Linked DNA regions of Callithrix jacchus. The protein of the gene in region 1 interacts with the protein of each later gene in a pairwise test. Links are inferred from orthologs where the notes say so. Each region holds a gene or a part of one and is shown on either strand. Other genes may lie near its edges.

Evidence for each region.
Region 2: the proteins of KLHL41 (region 1) and NRAP interact in binary tests that used the Homo sapiens proteins (3 or more experiments, as listed by UniProt). The link is inferred for Callithrix jacchus from reciprocal best matches to the Homo sapiens genes KLHL41 and NRAP.
Region 3: the proteins of KLHL41 (region 1) and RCHY1 interact in binary tests that used the Homo sapiens proteins (3 or more experiments, as listed by UniProt). The two-hybrid records come from large-scale screens. The link is inferred for Callithrix jacchus from reciprocal best matches to the Homo sapiens genes KLHL41 and RCHY1.

Annotation. Positions count from the first base shown.
Region 1 is NC_133507.1:60,003,906-60,006,739, reverse strand, and holds the end of KLHL41 (kelch-like protein 41), read left to right. Parts: intron 1-1,541; coding exon 1,542-1,653; 3' UTR 1,654-2,189; downstream 2,190-2,834. UniProt on the Homo sapiens protein: Involved in skeletal muscle development and differentiation. Regulates proliferation and differentiation of myoblasts and plays a role in myofibril assembly by promoting lateral fusion of adjacent thin fibrils into mature, wide myofibrils.
Region 2 is NC_133513.1:106,614,604-106,618,771, reverse strand, and holds the start of NRAP (nebulin-related-anchoring protein), read left to right. Parts: upstream 1-1,256; 5' UTR 1,257-1,415; coding exon 1,416-1,487; intron 1,488-1,848; coding exon 1,849-1,943; intron 1,944-2,510; coding exon 2,511-2,598; intron 2,599-4,168. UniProt on the Homo sapiens protein: May be involved in anchoring the terminal actin filaments in the myofibril to the membrane and in transmitting tension from the myofibrils to the extracellular matrix.
Region 3 is NC_133504.1:122,639,946-122,644,288, forward strand, and holds the start of RCHY1 (RING finger and CHY zinc finger domain-containing protein 1), read left to right. Parts: upstream 1-1,470; 5' UTR 1,471-1,507; coding exon 1,508-1,597; intron 1,598-4,343. Other genes in the region: THAP6 (THAP domain-containing protein 6), read right to left, coding at 253-332. UniProt on the Homo sapiens protein: E3 ubiquitin-protein ligase that mediates ubiquitination of target proteins, including p53/TP53, TP73, HDAC1 and CDKN1B. Mediates ubiquitination and degradation of p53/TP53; preferentially acts on tetrameric p53/TP53.

The DNA.
Region 1 (2,834 bases):
TATGCTTTCCTCTACATAAAAAAAAAAAATTATACCATGAGTGCATGGTGTAATTGTTGAGAATTTGGAACACTGATGAAATTAAGTCAGTGAATACTGTACGTAGGTACAAGCTAATTCTAATAATTATTTTAAATCTCCTTCATTCATCATAGAATGATTTGGGTAAATCTTTTTTTTTTTTTTTTAAATGGAGTCTTGCTCTGTCACACAGGCTGGAGTGCAGTGGTGCAATCTTGGCTCACTACAACCTCTGCCTCCTGGTTTCAAGCAATTCTCCTGCCTCAGCCTCTGGAGTAGCTGGGATTACAGGCACATACCACCAAACCCAGCTAATTTTTATATTTTTATTAGAGATGGGGTTTTGCCATATTGGCCAGGCCAAGGTCTTGAACTTCTGACCTTAGGTGATCTGCCCGCCTTGGCTTCCCAAAGTGCTGGGATTACAAGCATGAGCCACCATGCCAGGCTGATTTGGGGTAAGTCTTGTGCCAAGTCTTCACAACTTGTGGAGAGATATTAAGGTGGATAAATATATTATTTGTCCTCAGATGCCTTTGGGACTTGAGGACATTGACATGGGGGGAAAATTAAAATGGAGTGATAATTGCTATAATACCATATAAAGGATGATATGAGAAATGAAGAGAAAGCAACAAACTGTGCTTAAGGAAGGTGAGAAAGGTTTCAGAGAGAAGGCAGCATTTAGAAGCTTCCCACACAGAGAAAACATTCCTGGCCCCAGGCAGAGCAGACATGTTTGGCACACATGGTACAAGGGAATTCAAGTTGTCTATATCTTTATAACCTTCAATATTCAGAGATGAAGACCAGTCCTTACCAAAGTCAAGTGCAAAGTCTAAGAGCTGTCCTCAAACAGAACAATAAAGGGGAAGGAAGGGGAACAAATTTTCATAAAGCGACTGTTGTGTATCAGGTGCCATGCTAGACACTAGCATACAGGAACAACTGAAGGCATAACTAAGGCTACCGATAGTCTACTCTCCCCCAGTTTTTCTCTTAAGCAAGAGTCTGCTTACCTTGACTCAAAGACCAGCCATCTTCCATCAGTTCAAAGGTGAATGTTTAACTGCTTAGCTGTTTATTCCTCTTCTCTGTGCAGTCTTTGATTCCCAGAGAAGGCTGAACTGGGTGGACAGAGTGGTTCATGCCTGTAATCCCAGCACTTTGGGAGGCCAAGGCAGGTGGATCACAAGGTCAAGAGATTGAGACCATCTTGGCCAACATGGTGAAACCCTGTCTCTACTAAAAATATTAAATATTATTTTTAAAAAAAGAGAGAGAAGGCTGAACTGCCTAGGCATCCAGATTAAAAACTGTGGCAGTAGTAGTTCAGGTACATGCTCATTCAGACTGCCTATTTATTTGGGAGATATTCAAGTGCCGTTCTACCAGGTAGGTGCATCTTCCTCTGAATAAGAGCCACTAGAGTTTTTTCAAAGATCCACATTTGTATACCAAACACAGGGAAACCTATAGAACTAAAGCTGCTTATTGATTACTTTTTTTCCCTCCATCAGGTATGAAGATGATAAAAAAGAATGGGCTGGGATGTTGAAGGAAATACGCTATGCTTCAGGAGCTAGTTGCCTAGCAACACGTTTAAATCTCTTCAAACTGTCTAAACTATGAACAAGGTGACAAAACATAAGGGGGAGGTGGTTTGTGTGGTGAATGGGGCTTTAATTTATTGTTTTTTAAAAGCTTGTACAGACACTCATGTAGAAATTATTCAGGAAACTGTCTTAGAGAGGAGCAGTAGGTAACAAAACCTCAGTCACTGACTCTTCAATGTAATGTTCAGAACTTAAAACCATTTTCTAATAAGAAATTAAATATTCAGTTGAACAAATTATTTTGTGAATGTTTCACTCAATGGATTGTAAAGAAGGCTCCTAAATTTGAGTTATTTGTTAATCATTTCATTTGCATTGTTAGGGTATCTTTACACTGATTTTCTATTACAATTGGAAGTGGAGAATATGTGCATCTACATTAAAAAAATGTTTAAGATATCAAAAACCTCTCCTCATGCTTCAAAATGACAGGAATCCTGTGCATTTTGCTAAAAATTACATGCCGTAAGATGACTTCAGAAATGCTACTTCAGACGTGTAATAAATGGATGGGGAAAAAATCTCTTCTAAGTAAAAATAGTCAAATTCAAATGGCCATTTTTCTCTTTTTTTTTTTTTTTTTTTTTTTTTTGCGACACTGGCACGTTATTCGTGGTTTCCAAATCAAATTTTTATTAAAACCAGTAAATTAGTCTTCAAGCCAATAACTACAGCATCTGTGGCAAGAGGGTAAGAGAGCATCCTTAGGAAATGGATTGATTCTTTAATGCTGGGGCAGAAGATGGGGTCAGTGGGAGATGTGGAGGAGGATGTGTATTCACTGATTTAAATTTTGGCTACTCTCTGTGAAGGGGCTATTTGCTAAATTTCTGACTGCAAGGAAGGGTGATCACATTCATTTTCTGGGATGTGATGTCCTCCATTCACTGTTTCTTCTTAGTGCATATAGTAAGGTGACTCCTCAGTCTGCTCATAACTATCACATTCAACTCTGCAAGTCATAAATTAATCATCACTTTCAGCCACACACCAGCTTATGGGTCTCACATAGCTTTCATAGACATATATTTGACTTCTATCCTTACACGTTATTTTCTGAAAAACCTGACTTGGGACTGATTTGGAACATTCATTATTATTTGTCAAGGAGTTGCATAAAGAACAGATCTAAGTATCCATACACCGTTTTTTCTCAATCATAAATACAGAAATATATTTAACAGAAAAAAGTTTTAT
Region 2 (4,168 bases), on another chromosome or scaffold:
TGGTAACCTGCTGGCCAAATACTGCCCACGCCTCTGTTGTATTGTTTTATATACAAAAAGGGGAACTTCATGTGTCAATGCAGACTTCTGGTGTGCTCAAAATATTTGGAAAATATTCTGGAAAAATCTGAATATTTGGCAATGTGGGATGTTATTTCATGATGACAGCTGGCTGGGATGAAGGAGCAGTGCCTGCTTCAGCTGGGATGAATGCTCACCTGTATGGAAAAGTTCCTGCTATTACCTATGACTTCACACCTGGCCTCGATAGGCATTTTGGTGTGAGTATTAAATTTATTTTATTAATCCAATAAATCCTTATTGGGCAGCTTTTATTACCAAGCCTTGTCCTAGTCATGGGGGATATAGAGGTGGCAAAAAGGATCAAGGATTCTGTTTAGATAGAACTCATATTTTGATGGAAGACACACAATTTTTAAAAATTGAAACATTAACATTTAATATATCCAGTCTTGATTACAGCTATAAAGACCATCAAGCAGGCTAAGAGTAATGGAAGGTAATGAGATAGGAGTGGGGACAGGTGAGGTGCCATTTTGTATCAGGTATCTGTAAGGTGATAAGGTGACATTGCGGCAGAGAATGAAGTCAGTGAGGGTCTTCCCAAAGCCAGGAAGAGAGATTCTGTCTTCATGCCACCCTTCTTAAGGCCTGTAAGGCAAGGGAACAAGCACAAAGGCCTTCTTGGAACATTCCAGAATAAAATATAGAGGCCAAAACACCAAGAGTTCTCATTTATTTTTAGTTTTGCATTCTGGTAGAAGCTAAACACAAACTAACACCTTATTATGTTTTTAGTTTCACTATTGTAAACACTTTGGGCAGGTAAAGTGAAAATTCCAGGGTGATATTTATCCATTTAAAAGAGTGAATCAATCCTATTTTATTTCCTATATTTTTGGGAGCTTGCCTTTCTGCTTTAGTCATAGGACGCATAGGGCAAGCTTTTCTAATCTGATTGTTGGATGACAGTATGGCATCTTCCTTTAGGTTCTTTTCTTGGGTCATGATCACAGCTAGTGCTAAACCACTCCACGCTGCCTGATCACACACCAGGATTTGGTCATCCACATAAACATGATGCTGTTGTGAGTTCACTTTTCTATTTAGAGAAGCATGTCAGCTAGAAATATTTCCACCTTATTTCTCAGACGCATGCGTGCTGAGTGAGTGGCCAAAATAGCCCCTTGAGTAAGTGGCAGCTTTAAAAACCATCCAACTGCTGACTTCAAACTAGAAGGTCAGCAAAGGAAAGTGGAAGTTAGATTCTGAACGATCGAGGTGCCCACAGGAATTTAATAGTCGTCGGATTTCGGAGACTTGAACTAGGCCGGGGGTTCTCCTTGCATTTCGTGCCTGTTGCCTATCGTCGTCGTCTCTCTGCAAGCTTCAACATGAATGTGCAGGCTTGCTCTAGGTGTGGGTATGGGGTTTATCCTGCTGAAAAGATCAGCTGTTTAGATCAGGTCAGTAGACGTTTCTTGGCTTTTGTGAATAATAACAAACATGGGAAATTGACTTTCTCACATATGGACTTAGGTAATATGGAAATGTAATTTTCAGTTAAAATTTTTTAAACCACAAGAAGTTGTATTTTCCCTCCTTTAATTTGTACCACCCATTTCTATTTCTTCTGTGTTGTCTTGAAAAGAAGTCATCCATTTATTTAACTGTGAGTGTTGTTATAGCTGTGTGTGTGTGGTTTTTATTTTTTTAAAAATCACCATTTTATTCTTGAAGCTCATTTCTTTTTAACCCTAAATATATAAGAATTTTGAGTCTGGGGGAAAACAGATAATTGCTAAATCTTCTCTATACAATTTCTAGATATGGCATAAAGCCTGTTTTCACTGTGAAGTTTGCAAGATGATGCTGTCAGTTAATAACTTTGTGAGTCACCAGAAAAAGCCATACTGTCACGCGTAAGTATTTGATGCCACACCACTACCTCTTGAGTTTTATTTGTTTTTCAACAAGTAGCCAACTAAACGTCCAAATCATACACCCCGGGGTTAAATTCAAGAAATGTCTTCTCTTATATCCTGTCACTGAAGAAACCTAAGGTGGGATTTCATGCAATGGACACAAAATTTCAAATTTCTTCCAAGTAAAAGATCAAATATATCCACTATAACCTTATCTCAAATTATTAAATATTGTGCAGAACAATGTAATGGCCATGAATATGCATATAGAGCTTTGAAGTATTTTCTTTTAAATAATTTCAGAATCCTTTTTTACTTTCTTCAGAAAGTTTTCAAGTGATCATTTCCAGTTAAATTTAGGCTTTCAGTTATATGTGTTGATTTTATTTTATTTGCTTTTTTTTTTCTGTAAGATCAATACTTGGAAAATTGTGAACTTAATGTTTAAGTTTTCTATTTATTGATTTTTTAAAAATAACTTATTTAAAAATAATTTTAAGAATAGTCCCTCAATCATTTGAATAAAGTACATTTCTAATTTTGCTTTGTATCTATTTATTGTAGCCATAATCCCAAGAACAACACTTTCACCAGTGTCTATCACACTCCCTTAAATCTAGATGTGAGGACACCTCCAGAGGCCATCAGTGGGGTAAGTTATTTAATTTTCAATGGGAGAGAGGGTATGAAGAGTAGTCGGTTAATGGTAGAAACGTACAATTAAATAGAAAGAATATATTCTAGCCAGGCACGGTGGCTCACACCTAAAATCCCAACATTTGGGGAGGCCAAAGTGGGCAGCTGGTTTGAGCTTAGGGGTTAGAGACCAGCCTGGGCAACATAGTAAGACCCTGTCTTTATTTCTTAAATAAATAAATAAATAAATAAAAGAAGAACTATGTTCTAATGTCCTATAGCAGAGCAGGGTGACCACAATTACCAACAACTTATCGTATATTTCAAAACAGCTAGAATAGAAATGATAAATACTCGAGGTGATAAACACCCTAAATACCCTGTCTTGATCATTTCACATTCTAATATGTGGCAAAATATTACATGTATTCCATAAATATGTGCAAATATTATATATCAATTAAAAATGCTTAGACATATGTTAAGTGTTTGTCTCTGTCTGCATGGGAATCTGCCCATTTCTTCCACATACACATGCAAAGTGCATTTAAGTAACAAATGTGACTGTTCTGTCACAAAATTAGGGGCCAATATACGAATAATCTAGTTTGAATAATTTAGGTCTTTGATTTCAGTATGATTTTTGTGTCTTGACCAGCTCAAGACTGTCTCACAGTATGATGACAGTTTATAGAGTAGCCTTTGCATGCACCAAGTACTTAATACATAAAACCATGCTTACATAGCTGGAACATATTACAAGGATCTTTGCTTTGCCTTGTAATAGTCTGGTACATAAAATTAAAACTTTTAGTTTCACACTTGCAAATCTCTCTGAATTCAGCAAGTACTTATGATTATTGATAGCCTCTTTTCCCCTTGGGGTAGGGATAGGTCAAAGATGTTTTGCTTTGGAAAGGAAGTTTAGTTTAGAAAGGGTGGGATTGAGATGGGGAGGTAAACATGGAGGCCACATTGACAAATCCAACCTCTTGTAAATCTAATAGTAGAGTTTGGTCAAATAACCAGCTATTGATGGAACTCTTGCACCTATTAAAATGATGAATCACTGAGCTTCTATAACCCATGCCCTCAAGAAGTTGCTCTGTGGGATGAAGTTTTAGTGGCTTTCTAAAATTAGAAAATTACACATGAGGTGGAAGGCTCTCTAGTAATCCCTCTTTATCCAAGATTCCCTTCCTAATGTTGCTCCACGTCATACTGACTCTCTTCCTGCCCAGCTGTCCTCCTCCCCAAGAAATTGTGTATGAGATAGTGGCCTTGCTGTGTGGCTCTCTACACATGCTGGTAAAATACCTTATTTTTACCAAGTGCTTTGAACTGACTGTGAGTTTATGATTTCTTTTATTTAACAAGCTTATATAGCATTTACTATAGAAGCACTTAATTCATTTAACATACATTGCAACCCAACGAAGTTGATACTACTATTATTCCATTTTGTGGTGAGGAAACTGAGGCTCAAATTGTTGCTCAGACATCATTGCTTCCTGGGGATTCACAAGTCTTAGGAATTCACAAGCAATCCTAGATGACTGAGAAGGCTAATTCTTTTAGGACTTGTG
Region 3 (4,343 bases), on another chromosome or scaffold:
AATAATATCAGCAAAAGTGAGCCTTACGGTATTTTTTTGTAAACCAGTCTCTGATACACTTGGCAGGTATCTTAAACGTTTAAACTAAATTATAAACATGTAGAGGTATCACGATGTCACTTCAAATTTAACAAAAAGGGTATTTAAAAAGGATTTGGGAACTAAAGTTCAAAACTGAAGACTTAAGTAGAACTGTCTTTTCCTTTTTATAACATGGCCAAAGTATTTGGCTTAACTACAGCAAAATCTTACACGTGAAATGTCAGTCCTTTTAACTTCGAATTTGGCAAACAGCGAGAAGCACATCCAATGGCGGAGCAGCATTTCACCATTTTAGCAACTCATAACAGAACTGAAAGAAAATTAGAATGTTAAGAGTCAGTAACTTGAAAGCTGAAGGGAACATTTTCCGTTTCCCAGCGTTTTAGGAAACATGAAATCAGGTTAGAAAACCAAAGACAAATAGTTTCTTCTAACACCTGCAGCTTTGCTTAGAACATTTTCCGGCGTCTTCGCTATTTAACAAGGTGAAACATATTTAGCTATGAACCCTGAGGCACCTGATTTCCATTTGTCGGCCTGTACACTTCTCTTCTACCTTCGAATGGGTACCATGTTCTCTGTGCCACAAAGCCTTTTGCACACTAACTCCTACTCATCTTTCAGCCCTCAGCTTGCATCGCTTCCCCAAGGAAACCTTCCGACTGTTGACACCCAGATTAAGTCAGAGCTCCTCTAATATTAGCTCTCACAGGACACACATTTCTTCCTAGCACTTTTCCAAATTGTAACCACATTTATTGCAGTGACTGCTCTTATTAACGTCTTCCTCCTCCAGCAGTCTTGTTAGTTCCATGAGGGCATGGTAGAGTGTGTCTATTTTTTCTCACTTTTTGTCCTCACAGTTTAGCTGGTGACTGGCAATAGTGAATGTTAGTACATACTTGGAATGAACAGCAAGTAAACGGGAAATGGAGGAAGCAAGGGGCACTTCGAGGTGCTAGCGACTGCCCTGGCGTCCAAGAGCGCCGCGCGGGACCCGCAGAGCCCAAGACCTGGGCCGAGCTCCGCCCCTTTCTCCAGGCTTCCCGACACCCGTGAGAGAGGGAGGGGCCGCCCTGTCACAGGTAACGGTGCGCCCCGAGAGCGTCCATTCCTCAGGGGCCAACCAGCGTCTCCGCGCCGCTGCAGCCCACCTCGCGGCGAACCACGCCCTGAGATTTCGGCGGGTAGCGATGGGGGGAAAAGAAGAAGCAACCTAAGAGTTATTACCGTCAGTAGAGAAGACTGCGACTAACGTCAACGACGGAGACTGCGTCTGCCCTCGCTTCCGTCTCGTAGTCCCGGAAACCGGAAATCCGTTTGCCCCGGGTCACGTGCTTAGGAGCCATATTAGCGCTGGTGACGGCTGCGGCTGGGAGGGGGTGTGCTAGAGCGGCGCAGCTTCACTGGGCGTGGTTTTCATCCTGTGGGAAGGCTCGGTGGAATGTGAGGGGAGGTGGAGGAGATGGCGGCGACGGCGCGGGAAGATGGCGCGAGCGGTCAAGAGCGAGTGCAGCGGGGCTGCGAGCACTATGACAGAGGATGTCTCCTGAAGGTGACGCCTTCAATGGGCTCTTCCCCGACGAGCTTCCGCTGGGCTGGGCTGGGGCGGACTGGGCAGGCAGTTAGGCTTGGATTTAAGTTTGAGGTTAAGCTGCTTTTCAGGGTACCTTTTCCACTTGGAATTGGGTTCTTCTTGAGGAGAACGTTTTTGGCAAGGCTGTAAGCCCCACCTTTCCTACCTGCTTCGTACCTTGAAAGCAAAACCCTGTTTCTTGAGAATTGATTAGGCTTGCACAGTGGTCTCTTTGCACAGTGGTTTATTCGCCTTTTGCTGTTGAAGTACACTGAGGCAGCCCCGGCATGTCCTGGGCTTTTCCCTTCAGGTATGTGGTGAAATAATGGAAGTCAAGATAATGGAAATAAGCAAGTGGAGAACTAGAATACGATTTCAGCTCCTGTAGTAAAGTTATATAGCCTGCCAGCTTCATTTTAGAGGCGATGCGTATGTTTAGACTTACGTAGGAGAAAACATACGTCCGAAAAAAAGAAGACAATCATGTAATTGCCATTAAGTAGGAAATTATGTATAGGAAAGTGCCTAGTGAGTATGTATCGTTACTTTGAGAAAACTTCTTAAGCTATATATTTTTTAAATTGTCATGTATTCAATTGAAGTTTCATGATTTTCCTTGCAAGAAGCAGTACAAAAATTTTGCTTAGAATACTTGAGTTTTGGAATCTCAACCGCCCTATATCCAAATCTTTGCTCTTCTCTTTAATAACTGTGATTTTAGCTAGCTCCTCTTTACCCCATACGTAAAGTGGGGATGATAGTCCCTGTTTCATTAAAGTGTATGAGGAGTATGTATACTAGAGGGCATGTATAGTGTTTAACGGTGCATTCCCTGAAGTAAATGAGTAGTAAATGTGTACTACCATGACTATTACCATCATCATCAGTCTGATTATCATTTTTTGTCCCTTCACTCACAAGTCAGCCTTGCTGGTCACTGTCTCATTATTAGAAGCAAGTTCTAGTCTCAGGCCTGTAAGTGGATCCTAAGCTCTTTGTGTAAGTCATGGTTTGATGAACATCGGTCCACTGCATACAAAAAGCTCCTTAAAGTTGGTCATTCACCAAGTGTTTTGTAAGGAAATTGAATGCTATCGTTATGATTGCATTTCTACTGAGATGTGTTATTACTCTTTCAGACTTGAGGTCAAAAACTGATTTTAACATCTTACCCCCCCCCATAAACTACACAATTAGATCTGTGTATCATAGCACTAAGAAAGATACTTAGCCCTGGGTGTCAAACAGTTTTTGCCTTCCATCTCTCTCCCTCTTAAATACCAGAGGCCAAGTGAAGCATTTCAAGGAGGAAGTGGTCAAGTAGGTCAAATGCAGTTGTTTGAGTAAGATAACTGAGAATTGCCCTTTGGATTTGGCAAGGAGGAGATCACTTGATCTTGACAAGAGGAGTTCCAGTGGAGAGGTCAGGATTCGGGTGGATTTAAGAGAATGGGAGGAGTGGAATTGAAAATAGCACTTACAGATAGTTCTTGGGGTTTTGCTATAAAGGGAAGCAAAAAATAAGGTATGGTTGCTGGGCCATGATATTTTTTACTCTTTGAGAGAGAGGAAGTATTGCAGCATGTTTGTATATTCTAGGAAATGATCCAATAGAGTGAGAGCATTTTATAATGCAAGAGAGAGAAGGAAAACTGTAGGGGCATTGTCCTTGAGTAGCCAAAGGGGATGAAATCCAGTGCACAAGTGAGGGAGTTGGCCTTAGAAGCATAGACGTCAGTTCTTCCTAAGGGAAGGCAGAGGATGAGGTATATTTGCAAGTTAATAGAGATGATAGGAGGATGTTCTCTTTTGATTATTATTTTTTTCAGGCCTGTTAGCAGGAAGTATAGTTACTGTTTTTATAGTGAACACTCATCAGCAGAGTGTTAAGGAGGGAGAGAGAGGTGTTAGAGTTTTAAAGCCAGAAAAGATGTGAAATGATCATTTAAATCTTAGATCTTAGACTCTAGAAGAATGAGAGAATGAACCAGCAAGGATGGTGATGTTTTTTCTCTAACCATATTCGGCTGCTTCTGATACAAATCTAATAGGATTTAACCTGGATTGGGATTGTGATCTGTGAGTGTAGGGGAAGAGAGAAGGGAACTAGGGTGTATGCAAGGGAGGACTTGGAGTAAGTTAGAGAGGAGGTAGCGGTTAGTGAATTTGATGCTTGGAATTGAGATGCAGAGAGAATGCAGTTGTTCTGTAGCAGTGACTTTCAGAGTGTGGTGAATGGACCCCTGGGGATCTTGAGGTCCTTTTGGGACCTGCAAGGCCAATACTACTTTCTTTGAATACTAAGGATTTTTTTTTTTTTTTTTTCAGTTCGTTCACACTTGCTCTGATGGTGGAAAAGCACTACTTAATACTGCTAGTACCTTAGCTTGAATCAAGACAGTGGCACTGAATACTACACCTATAGTTTTTTTAAAAAGCCAGTTTCACTTAAAAATGTTGATAAAGCAGTAAAATCATTAATTTTCTTCAAATCTCAACCCTTGAGTGTATGTCTTTTTAATATGCTGTTCAGTGACATGGGAAGTTTTCATCAAACACTTATGCAAACCTAAATTAAAGGGTTATCTTGAGGAAAAACTTTTGTGCAATTGGATTGTAAGGTGAAATAGTTGCCTTTTTTCATGGAACAGCATTTTTTACTTGAAAGAACTACAGTCATTCACATTTGAGTATTTGGCAGACATTTTCTCCAAAAGGAAAAAAG